Schizosaccharomyces pombe: one gene and its partners. Changing the gene in region 2 together with the main gene of any one other region gives a genetic interaction. Each region holds a gene or a part of one and is shown on either strand. Other genes may lie near its edges.

Region 1 (7,740 bases), on a different chromosome or scaffold from region 2:
ATAAAAAAAAGTACAATTTACGTTTTGTGTTTTTTTTGGATCAAGGCAGTTAATTCAACAGAAGTTCATATTTAGTCTTAAAAATTAATGTTTATTCTTCTAATGATTAAAGAGCTAGTAAATTTGAGCATCGTTTTTATTTGTATTCTTGTTTCAACTCTGGTAAACCAGGATTATGAAAGTATTTTGGTACAAGATGTGAAAAAGAATTAAAAGTCTTCTATGTAGATAATTTAATTTGTATATTTAAAAATTTTTGATGAGGCATATTTATTTATTTATCTGTGCTTTTTATCACTGGACATTCGGTTGTTTGTTTATATTTCGCTGATAAACGCTGTTTGAAACAAACCTGAACCTACTAAAGAGCAAAATACAGATAGTTCGAGAAATAAATTTTTACGATGTCTTTGACTGAAAACCTTCAATTATTATTAAATTTGGATAGTCTACCATCCAAAAGGTATGTTATCGTTACAATCTAGTCATAAATTCATAAATCATTCATTAACAAATATACCACAGAGAAAATTTAATAAAAAGAAAAGAATGTGGTTTAACAATCATGCTTTGCGGAGCCTCAGGTACTGGAAAAACAACGTTCTTCAATACTCTTTTTGCTACTTCTTTGCAACCAGAAAAATCATATGAAACGGCTAAGGAGACCATAGCCAAAAAGACCTTAGAAGTTAAAAAGAATAAGGCCGTAATTGAAGAAGATGGTTTTCATATCAATCTTACGGTGCTCGACACCCCAGGGTTCGGTGATTTCATTGACAATACCAGTTGCTGGAATACGGTTGCAGAATATTTAGACGAACAACACGAAAGGTATCTAATTCATGATCAAAACTCTCTCCGTGTACCAAGGAAAGACACTAGAGTCCACGTTTGTCTCTACTTTATTACGCCAGTTTCGTTTGGAATGCTTCCTTTAGATGTGTTAGCTATGAAGGAGCTATCGACCCATGTAAACCTTGTGCCAGTAATAGCAAAGGCAGATACATTTACAACTCCCGAATTAACACAAATAAAGCAAAAAATTAGAAGGATCCTGGAAGCTCAATCAATCGACGTTTTCCATCCATCAACAGAGTATTCTGATTACGAAACTGCCGAATTACTAGATTCATCCTTACCTTACGCTATCATTTCCAGTGTAAATGAAGTTTGCAAAGACGATGGGGAAAAATCGCAAGGGCGTCGTTACCCATGGGGAACCTCTGAAATATATGAAGAAACACATTGTGATTTTTTAAAATTGAAGAAATTGCTAATTAATAGGCATATGCTCGAGCTTATAAATACAACTGAAACCAACATCTATGAACGATATCGTAGAGAGCAGCTTACGAATCGAAAGAGTGGCATTCCTAAGCTGAAAAAAGAGCATTACGAACGCTTGAACAATGAGAAACGTGCGATTCAACAAAAGATAACACAAATGACTAATGAAACTGAAAGCTTCTTTCAGGCCAAAGAAGAGAAAATGATTGAAACTCGAGATGCTTTGAATTCGGAACTTTCTGAATATCACGAAAGGATCCGTGCTTTGGAGACCCAAATTGAAAGTTTGAAAAGTTACAAGGGCCGCGGTCATAAAAAATGAAATACTGTATATTTCAAGTCTCAAGTCAAACTTTTAACTTTTCCATCTCCTTTTATTTGCTCATCTGATGGCTTTTTCTTACTAAATTTGCAATTACAAGAATACAAAAGTAAGTTAGACTTATCCTCTAACAATTTGAGAAGTCTTTGTTTCATAATATACTTTGCATTGGCAACTTTACGGGATTTGCCGTAAGCAACAATATTCCCGTGGCGGAAGAATGAAAACCCATAATACTTTGTTAAATGGAGTTCAGTATTTAACAATGTTTTGTGACTGGATTTCACCTCCTCGATGACACACTTTGTTCCGAAGTCTTCACATCCCTGATCTTTCAGTAATTGGTATACCTTGTGTTCAATATCTCCTTTAGCCTTAGTATGTGTCGCATCCCCTAACGAATTAAGAAAAAGAGGTAAAACGAATTGTAGAGATTGTAAACTAAACCCAGAATCCAAAAAAATGGCACATATCATAGCTTCTAAAGTATCTGAAATGAACTTTGGTGAATCAATTTCAAACCAGAACCACGGATTCTCTGAAGCAGTCTCCCTGAACGCTTCAATTAATTCTTGATATTCAAATATTGCATCACACATTGCTGCGCTTTCATGTTGGATATATTTGTGCAAATTCAAAACAAAGCCAATGTATGATAGACTCTTGTTACACACATAAAAAGATTTGTAATCAGTTAATTCGCCAGAAGTTGCGTTAGGATACTTTTTATAAAGGTATTGTACGATAATGTAATCCAATACAGCATCACCCAAAAACTCCAACTGTTGATAGTTTTCGTAAATACCTTGCTGAGACATCATGGAAGGATGAATAAATGCCAAATGGAGTAGTTTCTTGTTTTTAAATGAATATCCAATAGTTTCCTCTATATACGAGGAGTAAGGGAATTGAACATTTCTCAGTGAATCCGCATATGTATTTAAATCAAAATAATTGTTCCACTCATCCCAATTGCTGATATCCAGCAGACCAACGCTTAAAGATTTACAGATCTTGAGTGCTGAGTCAAGTCCACTGTCTAAAAGACATGCACCGATACTAGCTTCGACCATATCTGCTATCCTCTTAACCGATAATTTCTGTAAAACGGCGTAGCGGCACTTATCCGATGTGCTTTTCTGAAAACCATATGGACACCAATGACGGATTTCCAAGGGAGTCGAGAGAGCATACTTCGGCAACTCACAATCTATTGCTACTTTATACAAATTACAGTTGCTAATAATTTTCTTTCGATTAAAATGCAGTTGGTACTCTTGAGTATCAGGAAATTTCAAAAAAACTGTAATAGAAGCACCCAATTTTAGAAAGCAGTCTCCGTAAAACTCTAGACGATCGTAATCAAAATTCAATTGTGATTCCGCAGATGTTAAAGCCTGACAAGCAGTGTCAATTTTACAATCAAGTCGAAAGTGTTCGATAAAAGAAGAGGCGACCAATAAGTTTTCAATATGGTACAGTATGGAGGGTATTAGCAAGGCGCTGTTTTTCAAATGTCTAGAGACTGGGAGAATATAGAGGTCATTGATATAAAAACTGCGCACTTGCTGTGATTTGGGAATGGATTTAGCTCTATTGCCCCAAAGTGAATAATTTAATCGTAAAGGAAGTTTCTTACATAAGGCAGAAGGGGCCTTATCTTTCTTTTTAGCAGGAATCATAAATTCAGAATTGACAAATCCCTCAAAAGCATACTGTTCATATATTGACTGTGGATTTACTAATAATACAGTATCGGATTGCAAATCAGTAACATTTTGAACAGGTTCCGGTAATTTAAAAAAATTTTGGATAGTGTCAACATCTATCAGATTTTCTAAGAACCGGTAATCCGTGCATGACAAATTTAAAGGCGCAAGCCAGTAAGGAGTAGGTATTTGTTGCTCAAGAGAAGTAGATAAACCGAATTGAAGTAGATAACGAGTTGATTTTTTTAACAACTCAAGCAGATGAGAATCGATCTTAAAACTATCCTCAATCGTTTCTAAAACAATTTTAACTCGGGGGCCAACAGTCGAATTAAGAATAAAGCTATCAATTTTGGGGAATGAATGAGCTTGTACAAACACTAAGGGATGGAATATATGATTGTCTCCTTCATTAGCATCAGTATAAAGTAAAGAGACGAAGCAACGTGTAATATCTTCAGGAACTTTCATCCAACTTTTTGGTACATAGCGCTCATATGTCTCGATATAACCTTCATCTTTTAGCTCGTCTTCCTCAAGAGTTTCAAGGTCGGCAATTTTTCTTCTAAAATCTAGGGGTTTTAAATGTTTGTCTATAAGACCCATACGAATCAGATCCAAACACATGATGAACGCAGCATTCTGTTTGGCTTTCCTAATTGATTTAGCGGGAGATCCTTGAGCCGCTGGAACTTTGCAGGCTTTTGGCAATTCTACCTCAAAACAATACCAACCTGAAAGACAGGGTTGAGCTGTAAAAGTGGGATAATATCTTGTGTATACGTCTCTTGAAAGTGTGTTACAAAAGTTATAAAGCAGACTAACTGCATACAACCCTGTGAGTAAAGCACCAGTCTCGCCAACTTCATAGACGATATCATCAGTCACACGTTCTCTTTCCTCACATACCAATGAATCAAAAATATTCGAATTGCTGAGCTCTGAAAGGGCAAATTTAAGATTTTTTTCTTCGTGTAGAATGCGTTCATGAATTAACAACTCTTCTGTGTTTAAAAAAATTAGAAACTTTGAAGCCATTGCTCTCGCTCTACCTCGAGATTGGACATACTGGGTGACAGTCCGACAAATATTGAAGCGTATAACTAAGTTACATGATGGTACATCGATACCTTCTTCTGCAACTGCAGTAGCAATTAAAACATTATATTTTCCAGTCTTAAACTTATGAAGGGTATCTTTTTGCCTCCTGAATGTCATAGAAAATTCACCCTGATCGGACGGTCCATGTCCTATAAAAGAATGAGCGCGGATGTTAGGCAGATTAAGAGTTTTCATAAACAAACTTAAAGTAAACGCCGTAGCTTTTCTTTCAACGAAAATAACCGTACGAACGCTATCACTTTTGCGGTAAGTAGCCTTTAACAATTCTAAGAGTTTAAAGACTTTATCAGTAACATCAGTGGAATCAAAAACAGGGATTCTAGGGCCATTGTCTGAATATTTGTTATTTTTCCAATCTTCAACAAATATTTTTAACCGGTCAATTGCCAGTTCCTCGTCATCTGACAACTGCTTCCCTAAAGCCTTTTTTTTTAATCTTTTCGTTTCCACAAAATCAACCAAATATAACCAAACTTGCTCCCCAAACCAAAGACCCATATCTATGGTTTCTGCTAAAGCAGTCTTAACAGCCCGAGAAATTAACTTGCATCCTTGAAGAGTTTCCTCGCATTTCTTGATAATAGAATCCGAGGGTGGCACAACCAACTTATTGGAATACATTACATAGCTTTCTTCGGGAAGACAGAAGTAATCGGCTAGCTCGTTTTCCGAAACCACGTGTGCTTTAGAATCAAATAATTGCTCCCATTGATACAGTCGATGGTATAAGTTTCCTTTTTTTCCAGTGAATGGTGAAGCAGTCATACCAAAAATTCTTGGTAGGGTGAAATGTTTTTTTGACAATACTGCTTTGGCTCTGTGATAAAAATCATTCATGATGCGAGCATACGCATCATTTCCAATTGCATGATGACATTCGTCGAATATAATTAAATTCAAATCATTTATTGAAAGAAAACCTCTTGCAAGAAACAAATAGAACAAATCTGCAGTAATAACAATCACATTATACTTCAATATAATATTAGTCAACAACTGCTCGCTCATTTCTATAGATAATTCGCCATAAAACATGCCAACCTTAGCCGGTAGTTGAGATCGAATGTATTCCGCTTGTTGAAATACCAAAGGGACTTTGTTGACGAGAAAAACTGATATTTTTTTATGTTCAAGATTTGATTCTTGGATTAAAATTTGCTCCTCGAGCTTTTGTTTTATCAACTTCACAGCAAGTAATGTCTTACCAGCGCCCGTTCTCATAACAAGTAAAGTATTTTGCTTGCTCGCGATATTATACACATCTTGTTGATATTTACGTAAAAGTTGAGGAAGTAGAAAACTTGAAATATCCATTCAAAAAGAAAATAAAGGCGGAAGGTTTCATTCAATTGACGAGAAATTTGTCTCTTAAAAAATAATGAATCCTAAGCTATTCAAATAAACATGCATATGTTCATCTTTACCAGAAGAAAAAGAACAATCACACGAGCAGAATACTTCCTATAATTGTTTGTGAGATTGATAAAAACAGACGCAATACTATTGATAGCTTCTAAATTCGTTGTTAAGGGGAATCATTACACTTATAGATTCTGGTGTTTTAAGAGAAAAGTAGGTGGTAGTTTTTTACAACATAAGTTACGCACTTTAATAAAAAATGATTAAACGCCTATGCTTTATTTTAAAATGTTTAAAAAAAAAAAAAAAAAAAAAAGGAAAATTGCATATACATATTATTATTAAATCAATATTATTGAATGAAGAAAGGACTGTACGACTTGCTTGTAAATCCGTGAAATTCAGTTACGTTGAATTACTGGTTTCCAATGCTTTATGCTAGAATGATTCGGTTTTTTAAGAATTATTTACATAATATTTTAATAATAAATACATACATATATATCTGTTTACGCGTTCACTGCCTGCTCTTATCGGAACATAGGAAAACTTATTAAAAAAATATTAGAAAACATTAAACATACAATACTTTTTTATTATAAAGTGGTAAAAGCGAAATTATCAATAATAGAAAAACTGCTTTCGTAGAAAACCAATACAACATTTACAATGAATTAGTTTTTTAAATAAAATAGAAGTTGAGAAGTTGCTAATTAGTATCCACTTAATGATGAAAACAATATTATTTGAAGTCTCTAAAATGAAAAGTATTCAAATTTTTAAAAAATTTTAAAACATTCTCGCTCGTTTACACAGACTGCAGTCTTTCAATAAACATAAGCGAATGCACAATTTTGCCAGATGCCTTGCCCATGTCCATCAGTATAGGTATTAGGATGACAAGATCGATTTAGTACACAAACAAGAGAACGAATGAATTTCAGAGCTTGTAGCACAAGACCATTAACAAGAATCATATTCAATATGAGAGCAGCACAACTATCAAGTTCAGAGTATAAGTGATAAGTCTATATGAAGTTATTTTAATAAAACGAAAAATAGTATGAAAAAAAAATTCGAAGACACGAAATTAAAAACAACAGGACAAAAAAAAGGAAAAAAAGAATACAAAACCAGAGAGTTTAATATAGAAAAGCTCTGAAAAAAAGATGGATGCACGTTCACTCTTTGTTTAAGCCCAAAATGCATCGAATTATTTATGCTTGAATATTTTTGTTAAAAGATGCTTATGAAATAAAAGTAGTCTCATTAAAAAGCGTGGCTTCATCTTCAATAACCTCGTCACCCATCTTCAGTGTAAATTTGACAGGTGAGAAATATTGGTAGATGAAAGGTTTCGTTCCAGAGACTCCATGGACGAAACCCTTAAGCCAAGATGGTATCTCGGCAAGAACGTCGATGCGTTGAAGACGTCTTCCCAAAGGAGCATCGACTGAAAGATGAATATCTTCGGTGTATGTTTCAGCATCCTTTCCGTCCCATTCGTAGGAAATGCGAGTGGGTTCATGCCATTCCGTATCGGGATCGAGTGTGGTCTCAACGTGCTCAATAGTATTATCGACAGTTGCACTAATAATTTTGTCTTTCATAGCGATACCACCAATATTGACAATAGTAGAACCATAGCTAGGGGGTGTCTTGAACTGCATCATGATGGCGGTAAACTTTTTATGCTGCAAGAGGGCAAACTCCCAAGATGAAGCAAGATGGTGGGGTTTGCCATTTTGGAGTGCATGAACAAACATGCCGGGACCAGTGACATCCACAACTCTACCCCTTGCAACGATGCTACCTTCAACACGAGTGCGAGGCCAAAAGGTATGCTTCATGGAAGCCCAGGGCTTACTAGGATCTGTTCCATAAGTAGAATTTCCATCTTCACCGATTTTAAAAGGAGGAGCGTCTTGATGGACAGTTATA
Region 2 (5,838 bases):
TATAGCTAACCATTTTAAACGTTGCTGGTTATGCAATTAGAATTACACTATGGCTATCAATGTGTTTCCTGTTTCAATAATTTGGATTTTTTAAGCTCGTCGAATAAACAAAGCTGCCATAAAGTACAGCGAAGTCATCAACAAAAAAGTTATGGATTATTGTACTTTTCATGCACAGCAAAAATATTTAAAGATGTTTAAATATATATAAATATTATGAACGTAGACAATGCTTGCAAGTTTAAATAAACTTTAAAAAATCGACTTCTATAGCATTTGCCTACATATGTCACTTGTTTACGTTTTGACATTTCTCCTTATTAACCCACCATTCCACCACAATTGTAAAAATTATTATCAAATTTATATATTTCTTTACCGCTAGAATTCAATTTTACAAGAAAATTTTATCCCTTGCTTATAAAGACTCTGTGAATTAAAAAAAAGTCTCGTTTCCTTAGAAAATTTGTTTTTCCGTTGAATAAGGCGCTTTCAGTATTACTTGCCATTGGAAAGTGGTAGAATGTTTAATTAATGGTTTTTTTTTTGTTAATATTTATCTATTTAACCCAATTTTTTTCATTTAATACACCACTTCAGACGAATGGCTTCTAACCCTAATGCCGTTGAACAAGAAATTCTACAAGCTGTCAATTCGGCTCAAACTACCGATAAACGGAAAGCTCATGAGCAATCATTAGCATATCTTCCGGTGGAGGAAGAAAGAGGAGTTAATGTTGTTGGCTCAAAGATGAAACCCCGCTACATTGCTTTGACTTGTGATGATGTGACTCGTATTTTTTATATACACAGATTGAAAGTAAATGATAAAGGCGGAATGACAGTCGTGAAATCCTGGCCTTTATTTGAGTTGCAGAATATTACTGTAATTAATGATCATGATGTTACTATGACAATAAACAAGCCACATTTGTTGCGAACTCAGGACACTTCTGCTCGCGATCGATTTGTTTTTTCTGTTGCTAAAAATTATATGTACTATATGGGCAGGCCGCTTTCAGTGACTACGACTGATGGCCGCAAAGTGGACTGGGCCTATCGTAATTCCTTTGCTGATAACAAACCTAATCTCTATCCTGCAAAGAGCCTAGCTATTCCTAAAGCAAGGTCATCATTACCTGAAAATTCTTCAGAACAAGTTTCCTCATCTTTTAACTCTCGAGTCGCACATAACCGTAATTTTTCGGACGGCCCAATTGTTACCAATTTAGAAACGGATCAGCCTCGCATCGAGAAGAAGCTCACTATTGATTCTTCTCGATCAGCCAAAAAGAAGTTGAGTGTTGAAAAAGAAAGACGGTTTTCTGACAATAAGCCTTCTTCCAACGTTTCCCGGGGGACCCCATCATCTGCCCATAGTGATGTTATAGAAATTTCAAGTTCTTCTGCCATTGCAAGGACTTCAGGAGACCGAAAAGATGATGTCTTATTCGATACTTCAACTCAAAGACGAGATAATCAAACACGGGAAATGTTTATTCAAGAACAAGCTCAATTGTTTCCATCTAAACCTTCTTTACGTAAAACTACTCGTCGTGAACAAGCACCCTCATTTAACAGTGGAACGAGTTCTTCGGAAAGGGGTAAGAATAGCATCAGTGGTTCTTACGAGAAAAATACAGCTTTGGCACTAGAAGCTGGTAAGTATAATATGTCTCAAAAAGACGTGAAACTAAGCTCTTCTTTGGAGTCAAACACATTTGCTAGCGATTTTAGTAAAGTGGATCGTGATGCTACCCAGGCAGCTTTATCTTCTAGCTTAGAAACTCCTTCAGTATTAACGTCATCTTACAAGCCTTCCAGTTCGTCTAAAGTATCAGCAAAGTCTGTTTCTCGAAAACCAACAGGAGCACCGGCTATTCCTAAATTACCTCCAAAGCACCCGTCCCGTCAGCCAACTGTTCGGGCAACTCCTTCGACTGGTAAACAAATCGAACCACCAAACGACGAGCCTTCTATAGGAAATGAACTTCTTCCCCTTTTTGAAAGTTTGCGCTTTGAAAATAGAAAAACCACTTCCAAGCCAAAAGCCAAGAAAACTCTTGTTACTTCCATTCCGACTAAACCGCACCAAGCTTCTGTTGAAAAAGTTTACGATCTTAACTCAAAAATCAACCTCAAAAACATTCCGGAGCAAAGCATTTCTCGTCTTTCCACTTTGAAGTGGAATGAAGGTACAACTATAAAAGATGTATTGAAACAAACAGAATTTTCGTTTGATGGAGCTATCATAAGCAGTGTGGAAAACCTTGCTGAAGAAGAAATCGAATTGCAAAACATTAAGAGCCAACTTCAAGATTGTGCTTTAGGTTGTGAGTCTATCAATTCAACCATCAACTTATTTTCCCTAGAGTTGTCTACTGCATTAAATGGCGTCATTAATATAGAGCAACAACCAAGCCGTAGATGATACAAATGCTTCACGACAAATATCGAAAGATTAAAATACTTATTTATTTGAACTAAACGGAATCCAGATGATGAGAGTTATCTAATAGACGCTTTTGAGGTAGAGGAATAAGTATATTTTCTTTAAGTAAAAGGTTAGATATCTGCTCTTCTCCGAGATATGGCGTCCATCTTAGAAGTTTTGGATTTACTCTTTGAGGGTGTTTGATATTCCAAGCTTTATAAACATTCTCAAGTTCATCCCGTTTCAGTTGTAATACATATTTCTTTTTGAGCGGATCATACTTAAATACAGATAACGATTCCAATGTGGATATAACATCGTCGCATACCATAGATGTTGATTTGGCGATAGCATTTATGCTAATCGGTGTTGTGATTTCCAATAGAGCTTTGGCTACTCTCATTTTCCAATAGCTTCGGTACGTAACGAGGCCTAAATCTGAAAGTGGCTTTTCAGGTGATCCAAGCTTACCTTCTACCTGTGTAAGTAAATAACTAAAATCAATCAAAAAGACACCATATCCTCGGCGTTGGTAAATGGGTAATGTTAATATACAGGAAACGTTATAATCAGAAGCCGAGCGTTTCTCTTTACTGAAATATCCAATAACTTTGCATTCTTGGCCATCAAATTCAGTCAATACATAGAAAAGAAACGGTTCAACGTCATAGTACAGCATTTTTGAATGAAGAAACATCTTTGCTAGAAGACATAAATTTTGACAATATATCTAAGGAAAAACATCAATAAGTATAAAATGCATAAAAAATTACTTACCGGTTGCCGTTGACCATCAACTTCAAAAATTGATATATTCTTATCCCGATATATTTCATCTCCTGGTGGATAACTCCATGAGCATTTCATCTGATTATGTTAGTCCGTAAATTCAATTTGGATAGATTATGATCTTTTAATGTACACCTCGTTTAAACTCAAGCAATAGCGAATAACATTATGATCTTACTTGAAAAGTTGTTTACCTTGTGCCTTTGTAGTACATGATCACTGTTCATATACTTTAAACAAGATTCGCATATATATAAATTTTTTGCACAGCTATACTCCTCTGGATACGGTGATGTATACCATGGTTTTATCCGGTAAGTACCAAAATAGAGGTATCGAATGGAGGTTGGTTGTGGTGGAGGCGTTCGCAACTGTGTAGATAAAATAGGATCGGAAAATGAATAAGCCACATCCTTTGTCCTATCTGCTACTGTCTTTGCTTTTTCAAACAGCCTCACATCGTCTTGGTTGAGTCTCGTAATCGATGTGTCAGCTTGCCCTTTAGTTAATAGACCCAAAAAAGTACTTTCCGAATTTAACTCTAATAAATGTTTCTTATAAAATGGATATCTGGAGGAGTTTGTATCAAACTTTATTATTAACAAAGTCTTTGAACTGGCTGTGGATTTCAAAATAGTCGCCGGCATTATACATAAAAAAAAAAGATTGTTTATATTTACAGATCGTTCATAGTTTTCCTAATGGCCCCATTTAATCCTTTGGTCAATATAATTGAGTTGGTGGTAGTGCCCTCATTCTCTTCTTAGTTCTTGCTTTACTTCCACCTCCATCCGATCTCTGCAAAGATAACCCTTTCACTCTTGTTAAATAAAAAACTACTCATATTTTTTACTTTTGTATTCTGAAACAGTAACCATTCATAACTTCACTGTTAGCTTTTTGATTGAATGCCATTACAAACGTTGCGTATAAATACTACAAAGTCACCTTGGGTGATTCAACGATAAGTTTTACATTAGTAGTTTTAATGCCACTTTAATTATTCTCTAATTTCGACTTTATTTTCAAGTAATGTAATGATGATAAATGCAGAAATTTTTTAAATATGAACACGTAGAAAAGTAAAAAAAATATCATGTAAAGGGTGAGTACACTAAATTAAGTGTAAGAATGCAAAGGAAGCAGCATCAGAACTATATGAAATTGTTACCATAATTTTCTAATTTTAAAAAAGCAGAAGCAAAGGACAAGCTAATTCTATTCAGTAGCAAAACTGGAAAATCCTCTGAAACACTCTTGTTGTTGTCGTGTGAGAACAGTATTGACAGGTGTCAAAGTTGGACATGCACCTAATCGATCGTTAGTAATTAACCATATTTTAACAATTGTCATACTTGTAAATTCTTCATCAAAATTATTGAGGTCTCGGGGATCGTTGATAAGCGGTTTATATGATGGTTCATAAAGTTTGTTATACAAGTCATCCCAGACAATACTAGCAAAGAAAGGATGAGCCATAACCTCGTTTGCGTCTTTTGGTCCACTACCAAGTCGTTGATTTGGATCTCTTGTTAAAAGCTATTTTTTGAATTAGTTAACATATTTAGAAATTTGCATACCCCTCTCAATAACGAAACCGCATCCGCTGGCATATTAATCGGAAACAACGGTTCATCGCTTAAAATCGCATCGAATATTTCCTCTTCATCTTCACCTTTGAAAGGGGATTGACCCAGTAACATTTGATACATCAAAACGCCAAAAGCCCACCAATCAACATCCTTGGAATATTGCTGTTCTAATAAAATCTATTTTCGTTAGATAAAATAAACCAAAACAAGTTCCGCCTTACTTCTGGAGCCATGAATTCGGGGGTACCACAAAAGGTGGAAGTTGTATTGCCAAGCAACATATTTTCTTTGCAGAGTCCATAATCAGCAATTCGTATATGACCATCAGGACAAAGTAGAATATTATCCAATTTCAAATCACGGTAAGCAATTCCATTCTCATGAAAATACTTCAATGCTAAACAAACCTCAGCACCATAAAATCTATGGGGTTAATAAAAAATAAAAATAAAAATAAAAATAAAGATTGAAGTACTACCTTGCACGTTTCACGCTAAACTGTTGACGTTGAATATGAACCATAAGGTCACCACCAAGAATATATTCCATAACGAAGTAAACCCTGGTACTAGTTTGAAAGCTTGCAAAAAGATTCAGCAAGAACGGATGTTTTTCTTTATTCGCGACTTCGAAAACATGCTTTTCAGTTTTTAAACTCTCTAGTTCCTCATTCTTTAAAATGGCTTCTTTTTTCAGAACTTTGATGGCATAAAACTTTTTATTCACTTTATATTCAGCCAACATAACCTTGCCAAAATTGCCTTTCCCTAATACAGCCAAAAATGTGAAGTCGTCAAGCGTAACACGATTCTTTTTCTCTCTGCGTGGACTTTCTGGAACACTTCTATTAGCATCCTTGGAAGACGATAAGCTAGCACTGGAAGGTGGAGCAAGAACAGAAGCTGGAGTAGGAGTAGAAGAGGAAGGAGTAACATTTAAAGATCGATCTTTCTCAGGGGTTTTTGGAAGTGGAGACGTATTAAGTACACTTGTAACTGGCTGAGTAGCAGCAAGTAAGCCCTG
Region 3 (6,424 bases), 1.0 Mb from region 2:
GTTGCCCATGGAGAAGGTAGAGCTGTTTTCGATTCAGAGTCCGATTACGAACAATTTAAGAAGGAAGGTTTGGATTTGATATACTACGTTAACAACTACAACGAGCGTACTAGCCGTTATCCATTCAACCCTAATGGAAGCAGAGATGCTATAGCTGGTGTTCGCTCCCCTTGTGGTCGCTTTTTAGCTATGATGCCTCACCCTGAACGTGTAGTTTTGAAAGTTGCAAACAGTTATTACCCTCATTCGAAAGCTAGCGAGTGGGGCGTTCATGGTCCTTGGATCCGTCTTTTCCAATCTGCTAGAAAATGGGTTGGTTAAAGCATTTATCTTGCCCGGAGAAGCTGAATTGGAGTTCACATGCCGTAGTTTCTTTACAGTTTTGGTTTGTTTCGTGTTACAAAATTTTATAATTATTCTACTTAAATTAATGGTGAAAATTAGATTAAGCTTGGCAGATATAAAAATCGTTAATTATACATTATTACGATTAAATTGCTTTAACCATCGAGTATATGTGTAAAAATTATGACAACTCTTTTCCTTCAGCAGAAACATACAACAGTCTTGTTAAATGTTAACTCTAGCTACCTGTTTTGCTGTTCTATGTTCCATTGTCGATAATGAGTACAATTACTATTAGCCTTTTACGAGCAATTAAAGCTTCGAATGTATATTCGATTTAAAAATTATTAGCAGTAAGCATGGCTTTTCGTGAAAGCTGACAAAGACGACTAGAAAATAAATATGGAAATGAAATCAATACCTCAGTAGTGCCATTGCCAACAGATTTGACACGTTGATCGTATGTCACATCGTAAGTGGCAGCAACCGCACTGTTTATCCGTTCTTCATATTCCGAAGAATCAAATGCCGATTGATTTGATAAAGCGCATTTCTCTAAGTACTCTTGAGTGTATTTTTTCTTTAGAAGGTCGAACTGAAAGCTAACTTCCTCCCTAAGACCATATTCATTTACGGTTTTAGCTAAATCATCTTTAAAAAGGATAAAAGCTGTGTAAACTTCATATTCTGTGGAAATATCAAAACGAGCCATAATTGATCTCAGGTCATTATCATAGTGTTTCTTCACTTCTTCAGCTACATTCAGATATTCAGTTTTAAACCTTGGAAGTTTCATACAAGGATCATAAACAGTATTCATTATCGGATTATAAGTTGCAGGTCTGCCACTTTCTCTTTGGAATCGTGCAGCGTATCTGAAAATTTTGCCAACCGCGGTTTCGGAACGAAAAGAACGAGTTTTTGTTTTTTGCATGAAGTCAGGATATCGTTTGGGATGGTATTTGGCTTGCATTTTACAAGCTACTCCCGATTTAGCAAAATCTACAGCTTTTGAATGCATTTCTGCAAGTTCTAAACACACATTTCCAAATATCCCTTCCGGATTATTATCATGGTCATGGGCCCATGCCTTCCAAGCATTTGAAATTAGACCTAGCGAATCATATTTTATATAATTCACAAAAAATTCTTTTACCGAATCGATAAGTGGCTTTCCTTCCAAAAAATCTATAGACTTCTTGGGAGATGATTCAAGCAATGGGGGATAATTAACAATTTTAGGAAGAAGACGTTGATCCCATATAACTGTGTACTCATCCCCATCCAGATCACCACCAGAGCACATAGCAGGAATGCTTCGATCACCCGTTGTCGGAAACACTATCACATTTTTTAAATGCATAAGCTCATCGCATCTGACAGCTTTACAGACACGTACGTCACCTGGATGAAGCGAGGGATTCCTTGCAACAATACACAATCCAACTATAACCCTTGTTTTCAGCTTTCCAGTTGAATATGAACCAAAACTGGTAGAAGTGTCGGTAATTTGGATGAAAATTTCAGGTACTGACAAAACAGCATCATCATAATGACCCTTTAGTGTTCCAGTTTCATCAGCTACACCAAGTAAATAGGCACCCTTTGGAACACTAACTTTTTGTTTTTCCTTAATTAACCTAAGAACCCATTCATAATATAGATTTAATAAATTCTCGGTGAAAGCATCATCTCTTTCAAGGAAACCGGCCTGGATAAAATCAGCAATAATTAAAGTAGAGTGATATTCATCTACGTTGTCCCGTAACATTAAAATGGATTTTTGTTTGCTGTTTATCGATTCGTTCATTTTTGACAACTGACTTCTAGTCAATTCCAAAAATACGGTTTTTTCAACCCCGAGTCCTTCCAATAAGGTGATCAGTTGCATATTCAGATGGGCATTTGAAAATCGAGATATTTTAATAACTTCCAAGGTACTATGGAATGATTTAAATTTATCTTGACTACGGCGTGGAAACACAAGATTTCCTTGATGGTATTCAAGCTTAGTCGGAGGAGCTAAAGATAAAACGCCTTTATAACCACCCATACGAAATTGAAACGCAGAGGGAAACATATCATGATTTTTTACTTCCAAAGAAAGTCTTCGAATTACAGATAATGATGCCATTCCAACCCCATCAGTAAAGCAGTGGTTGTTACGAACAATATCATCCTGAAGGGATATGTCAACACAAAATCGATTAATTTCCTTTGTCGTTGAAAAGCATTGTCCCATCCTTGCTGCATACTTAGATACTGAATTGATTTCACTAAAGTCACCCATCCATTCCCTGATCTGTTTGGCATTTAGATCAGATCCCGAAGCAAAAAAGTAAGCACCATGCTCTCTTAATTGAGAATTTCCAAAAGCTAAAAATTCGTAAATTTGATTACCAACTTTAATTCCGTAGGTTAATAATTGTTGGATGCGAGAATACAATTTTTCATTTCTAAACCCATCAGAACCGCCTCGAATTTTTTGCTTATAGTATTCATCAGTTATTTGCACACGCATAAAACGGTTTGCAAAGTCCTTAAAATTTCTTATAACACGATTTCCTGCTTCTAATGAGTCTTCAACTATTCGAAGAGTAGTAGGTGTAACGTACAATTTTTTAATGTGAATAGAAGAAGCGGAAGATAAATCGTAAAAGACAAAAGACTTAGTAAAATCTAGCTCAGAAGGATTTATTAAAGCGGTTTTGGACGTTAGAATTAGTCTTAGGAATTTTTTTGCTCTCTCTTTCGATAATTTCTTTAAATTCGCCAATATAATGGGCAAATCAATTTCTGATAATAAGTTTTTAGAAAGGCAAGCCTGCAAAAGATAAGCAATCTCTTCCTCAATTTCTTTATCATTTATTAGACTACAGCGATGTTTGTAGTCTGGGACAAGATGGAAAACCACTTTATCAAGTTGACTTTTCAAATTGAATTTTTCCAAGTTGTGTAAAAGAAAGGCAATGTCATCTTTATCAGACTCATCCCTTATGGAAAAGCTAAGGACTAAAACATTGCAGCGTCCAATGGGGGCGTTATGGCAATTAAGTAGCTCTATAGGACTAGCAGTCGTTGGTGAAACATTGAAAGGTAGAATATCATAATGTCGTCTCCAAAGATGAGATGCAGTCCAGAAAGTTTGAACTCTGGATTCAGTTGCATTTTTAGATTTTCTGAAAATTAGTGGAGAAAATCTAAATCTAAATACGAGGGAAATATGATCATCGTAATAATCCGTCCCTACATCGCCTATTATGGAATGAAAATCGAAGTCCAGACGAAAGGTTTCGATCTGTTTGTCAAAAGAAGCATCAAAGAGAACACAGAGCTTTTTGAAATTAAAATATACAAGTAAGTTTGATTCAGTTACAGTTATTCCACAATCAACACCAAACAGTGGGACAATTCTTTCATCATAAACTTGCCCGAGCTTAAAGGAGGATAACGGGATTTTTACTAGCTGATCGCTTCTAAAACTATTCTTAGAGAAAACTTGTCGGCTGATGTGGGAACGATGTGCTGTTATGTCAATTTGAACAGCTAGATCAACACCTTTGACATTTATTTTCCCATTTGGTTCCCAGAATGGAACTTTGGGAGGAGGAGCAAATTGGACTATTGCAGTAGTACTTGTCTGTCCATTCAAAGGTTCATTAATCTTCATGAATTCTATTGTACCGTAATCATGAAGGGGTTCCCACAAGTTGTATAGTTTTCCTCCCTCATTTGAAAGCCAAGTAACTGGAATATCTTTTATGACAAGTGTAATCATATCCCCCAATCTCCAAGTACTACTTCTTTGGATTAGACAATTATCATTTCGTTTATTAGCCGAGTGCAACTGAGCTTCATTATTGTGAACGGAAGCCCATTTCTTTTGCTTTTTGTTTCTATATGGGACTCTAAGTCTTTCCCAGGGTGACTCACGAGAATAACGTTTTAATTTAACACTTATAAAGTCATTTAACGAAACTGCCATTGCTTTACATTGCCATACAAAATCTGGATTTAATTATAACCCTGACAACAAATCAATTTGGAACCTTTTGTAAAAATAAAACACTAAATCTCATAGCGCCTTTATGCAGTATCAGCAGCCTCGCTCTGCGAAGTGGTCTTTTATCATAGAAGATTCCTTTCAGCTGGCTATAAATTCGTTAGATACGAAAAACCTTCGATTTATATAAAAAAGATTATAATGTTCCTATTTATCCACTTATACATACATGTATATGTGTGCCTTTTTAATTTAATTGACCGTTATAGTATCAATATCTATGAATTGCTCTTGAAGGAAGTTTGTAGCACGGTGGAATAAAGTTAAGTGAAGGCTCCTTTACGTATAGGGAAGTAGAATCAAAATACTAAGAATACATATTCATCCTATATGAACCGGCAAGTTGAATTTCAGTTTTCAATCCAAAGCAGATATTGAGGTAGTTTTTTCACCAAGGAATAAAAAATTGTTAGGAAACTTCCATCAGTTAAACGACTGATATCATGCACCTTAATTCATGTTCAATATCGTGTTATAATATCTAGCTGATATTTACTATAAATTTATTTTTTAAGCATGGTATATAATTTGAGCTACGTAGCTTTACTCGTTTCAAAATTAAGTGCAGCCCTGATATTCCAAACCCCTCGTCAGCGCTTGATTTTACAAACACGTCCAACTACTTCGGCAAAGCAAACAACTTAATAGATTTTTAAAAATAGAGCAATTGCTCAAGGATAAATTAATTTATTATTCCTATTTGTAAATACCACAAATAGGTTCTTCATTCCCTTATTTTAATTGGTAAATTGTTAAACTTATTTCAAATGTGAAGCATTCAATTTAACATCCTTTAGATACATAATATTTATTCTTCTATCAGAAACTTGAAAAAAAAATGCCTGACAATCCATCTTCTTTTGAAGATGAATTCATGTACGCAGCTAGAGAATATCGGGTGTTTGAGCTAATTTTTTGTTAGGAAATCTAATCATTTAAGTGTTGCTTCGGAGTCCATACCAAATGAAAGCCAAAGACAGGTATGTACTGAAGTTAAATAAAAACAACCTATTACTAAAACTGCTTTTTAAAAGTCACCGACGCGATTACGAGTCGGTACCTCTAAAACAGATGATATTTATCGACAAAAACGGCAAACAAAACATATCATTTCACAAAATGAAGTTTTTTTACAGCCTAAATTTTTCGATAATCAAAATTTTGATGCTCAAAGCTGTATGTGTAATTATGTCTATTGGAAACTAATTTTGCAAAAAAGATTTAAACGATGTTTTACAGGACCTTAGTGAAGATGAATTTGTGTCTTTATACAATAAGCTTCTACGCATTCACATGGGCGTCCGTAAAAATTTGGAAAAGAATTTTTACAAAAATTTGAATGAATATGTATTTATATCAGGGGAGGTTGAGAGCATGACTTCAGATTTTAAAAAGTTTCAGTCTCTGTTGAAAACCCTGGAGACTGACATTGAAGGATTAAACTTGGTCGACCATACGCATGACCCTTCCGACGAATCAATAAAACAAACGGTACAGAGACTACGATCATCCATTGAAGGGCTAGATGAAGCATTCTGGGAAGCGCCTCAAAGACAGCTTATATGTGAGCAATACAATTGGATGTTAATCAATATTGACAATCAGAGACCTAAGCTTCTTGTCAATATGCTTCTGTTTAATGATAGACTGTTGGTTACTACTTCTCACATGAAAGAAGTTGATTTCCCTGCTAAGCAGCAGGTTTTGTATAATTGGAATTTAACCGAAATTTCTATTTCTTCAATTGAAACTTATGGACCAGCAGGTGCTGAAATGCTGCAGAAGGAGAAAGAGGTCTCTCTATACAAACTGTCAATTAACCATAACAATAAGACCACATTGTTGGCAGTACACAATAGTGAAGAAAGGGATTATATGGTTCGTCAGGCTCGCCATCACCAGCTTCAAGAACTAGAAAATTGGTCTAGAAAGCATGATGAAGATCTCGAATTTAGTCGTGAACTAGAATATCATACTAAATCGGAACAAGCCGATATGTGTTCGTATACATCCTTT

The links. Genes that interact genetically often act in the same process or in processes that back each other up.
Region 1: of mst2 (region 2) and dcr1, changing one suppresses a phenotype caused by changing the other (phenotypic suppression), as found in Schizosaccharomyces pombe (5 studies listed by BioGRID, with this or other methods).
Region 3: of mst2 (region 2) and rdp1, a mutation in one rescues a mutant of the other (synthetic rescue), as found in Schizosaccharomyces pombe (2 studies listed by BioGRID, with this or other methods).

What each region holds. Positions count from the first base shown.
Region 1 is NC_003421.2:1,504,537-1,512,276, forward strand, and holds dcr1 (dicer), read right to left. Parts: upstream 6,022-7,740; 5' UTR 5,755-6,021; coding exon 1,630-5,754; 3' UTR 1,610-1,629; coding exon of another isoform or gene 526-1,609; 3' UTR 464-525; downstream 1-463. Other genes in the region: septin Spn6, read left to right, coding at 405-463, 526-1,609; ER to Golgi ceramide transport protein, lipocalin superfamily Svf1, read right to left, coding at 7,047-7,740. UniProt on the Schizosaccharomyces pombe protein: Required for G1 arrest and mating in response to nitrogen starvation. Ago1 regulation of cytokinesis and cell cycle checkpoints occurs downstream of dcr1. Required, indirectly, for regulated hyperphosphorylation of cdc2.
Region 2 is NC_003424.3:2,362,964-2,368,801, forward strand, and holds mst2 (histone acetyltransferase Mst2), read right to left. Parts: upstream 3,972-5,838; 5' UTR 3,871-3,971; coding exon 3,418-3,870; exon of another isoform or gene 3,302-3,417; coding exon 3,212-3,301; exon of another isoform or gene 3,165-3,211; coding exon 2,484-3,164; 3' UTR 2,432-2,483; coding exon of another isoform or gene 605-2,431; 3' UTR 536-604; downstream 1-535. Other genes in the region: exocyst complex subunit Sec3, read left to right, coding at 605-2,431; protein kinase C (PKC)-like Pck1, read right to left, coding at 4,442-4,533, 4,579-4,762, 4,804-4,992, 5,037-5,238, 5,294-5,838. UniProt on the Schizosaccharomyces pombe protein: Component of the mst2 complex which is a highly specific H3 lysine 14 (H3K14) acetyltransferase that functions together with gcn5 to regulate global levels of H3K14 acetylation (H3K14ac), critical for DNA damage checkpoint activation.
Region 3 is NC_003424.3:1,323,159-1,329,582, reverse strand, and holds rdp1 (RNA-directed RNA polymerase (RDRC) Rdp1), read right to left. Parts: upstream 4,643-6,424; 5' UTR 4,578-4,642; exon of another isoform or gene 4,498-4,577; 5' UTR 4,331-4,497; coding exon 683-4,330; 3' UTR 522-682; downstream 1-521. Other genes in the region: phosphoribosylformylglycinamidine synthase Ade3, read left to right, coding at 1-321; exo8 (exocyst complex subunit Exo84), read left to right, coding at 5,247-5,284, 5,331-5,388, 5,443-5,584, 5,628-6,424.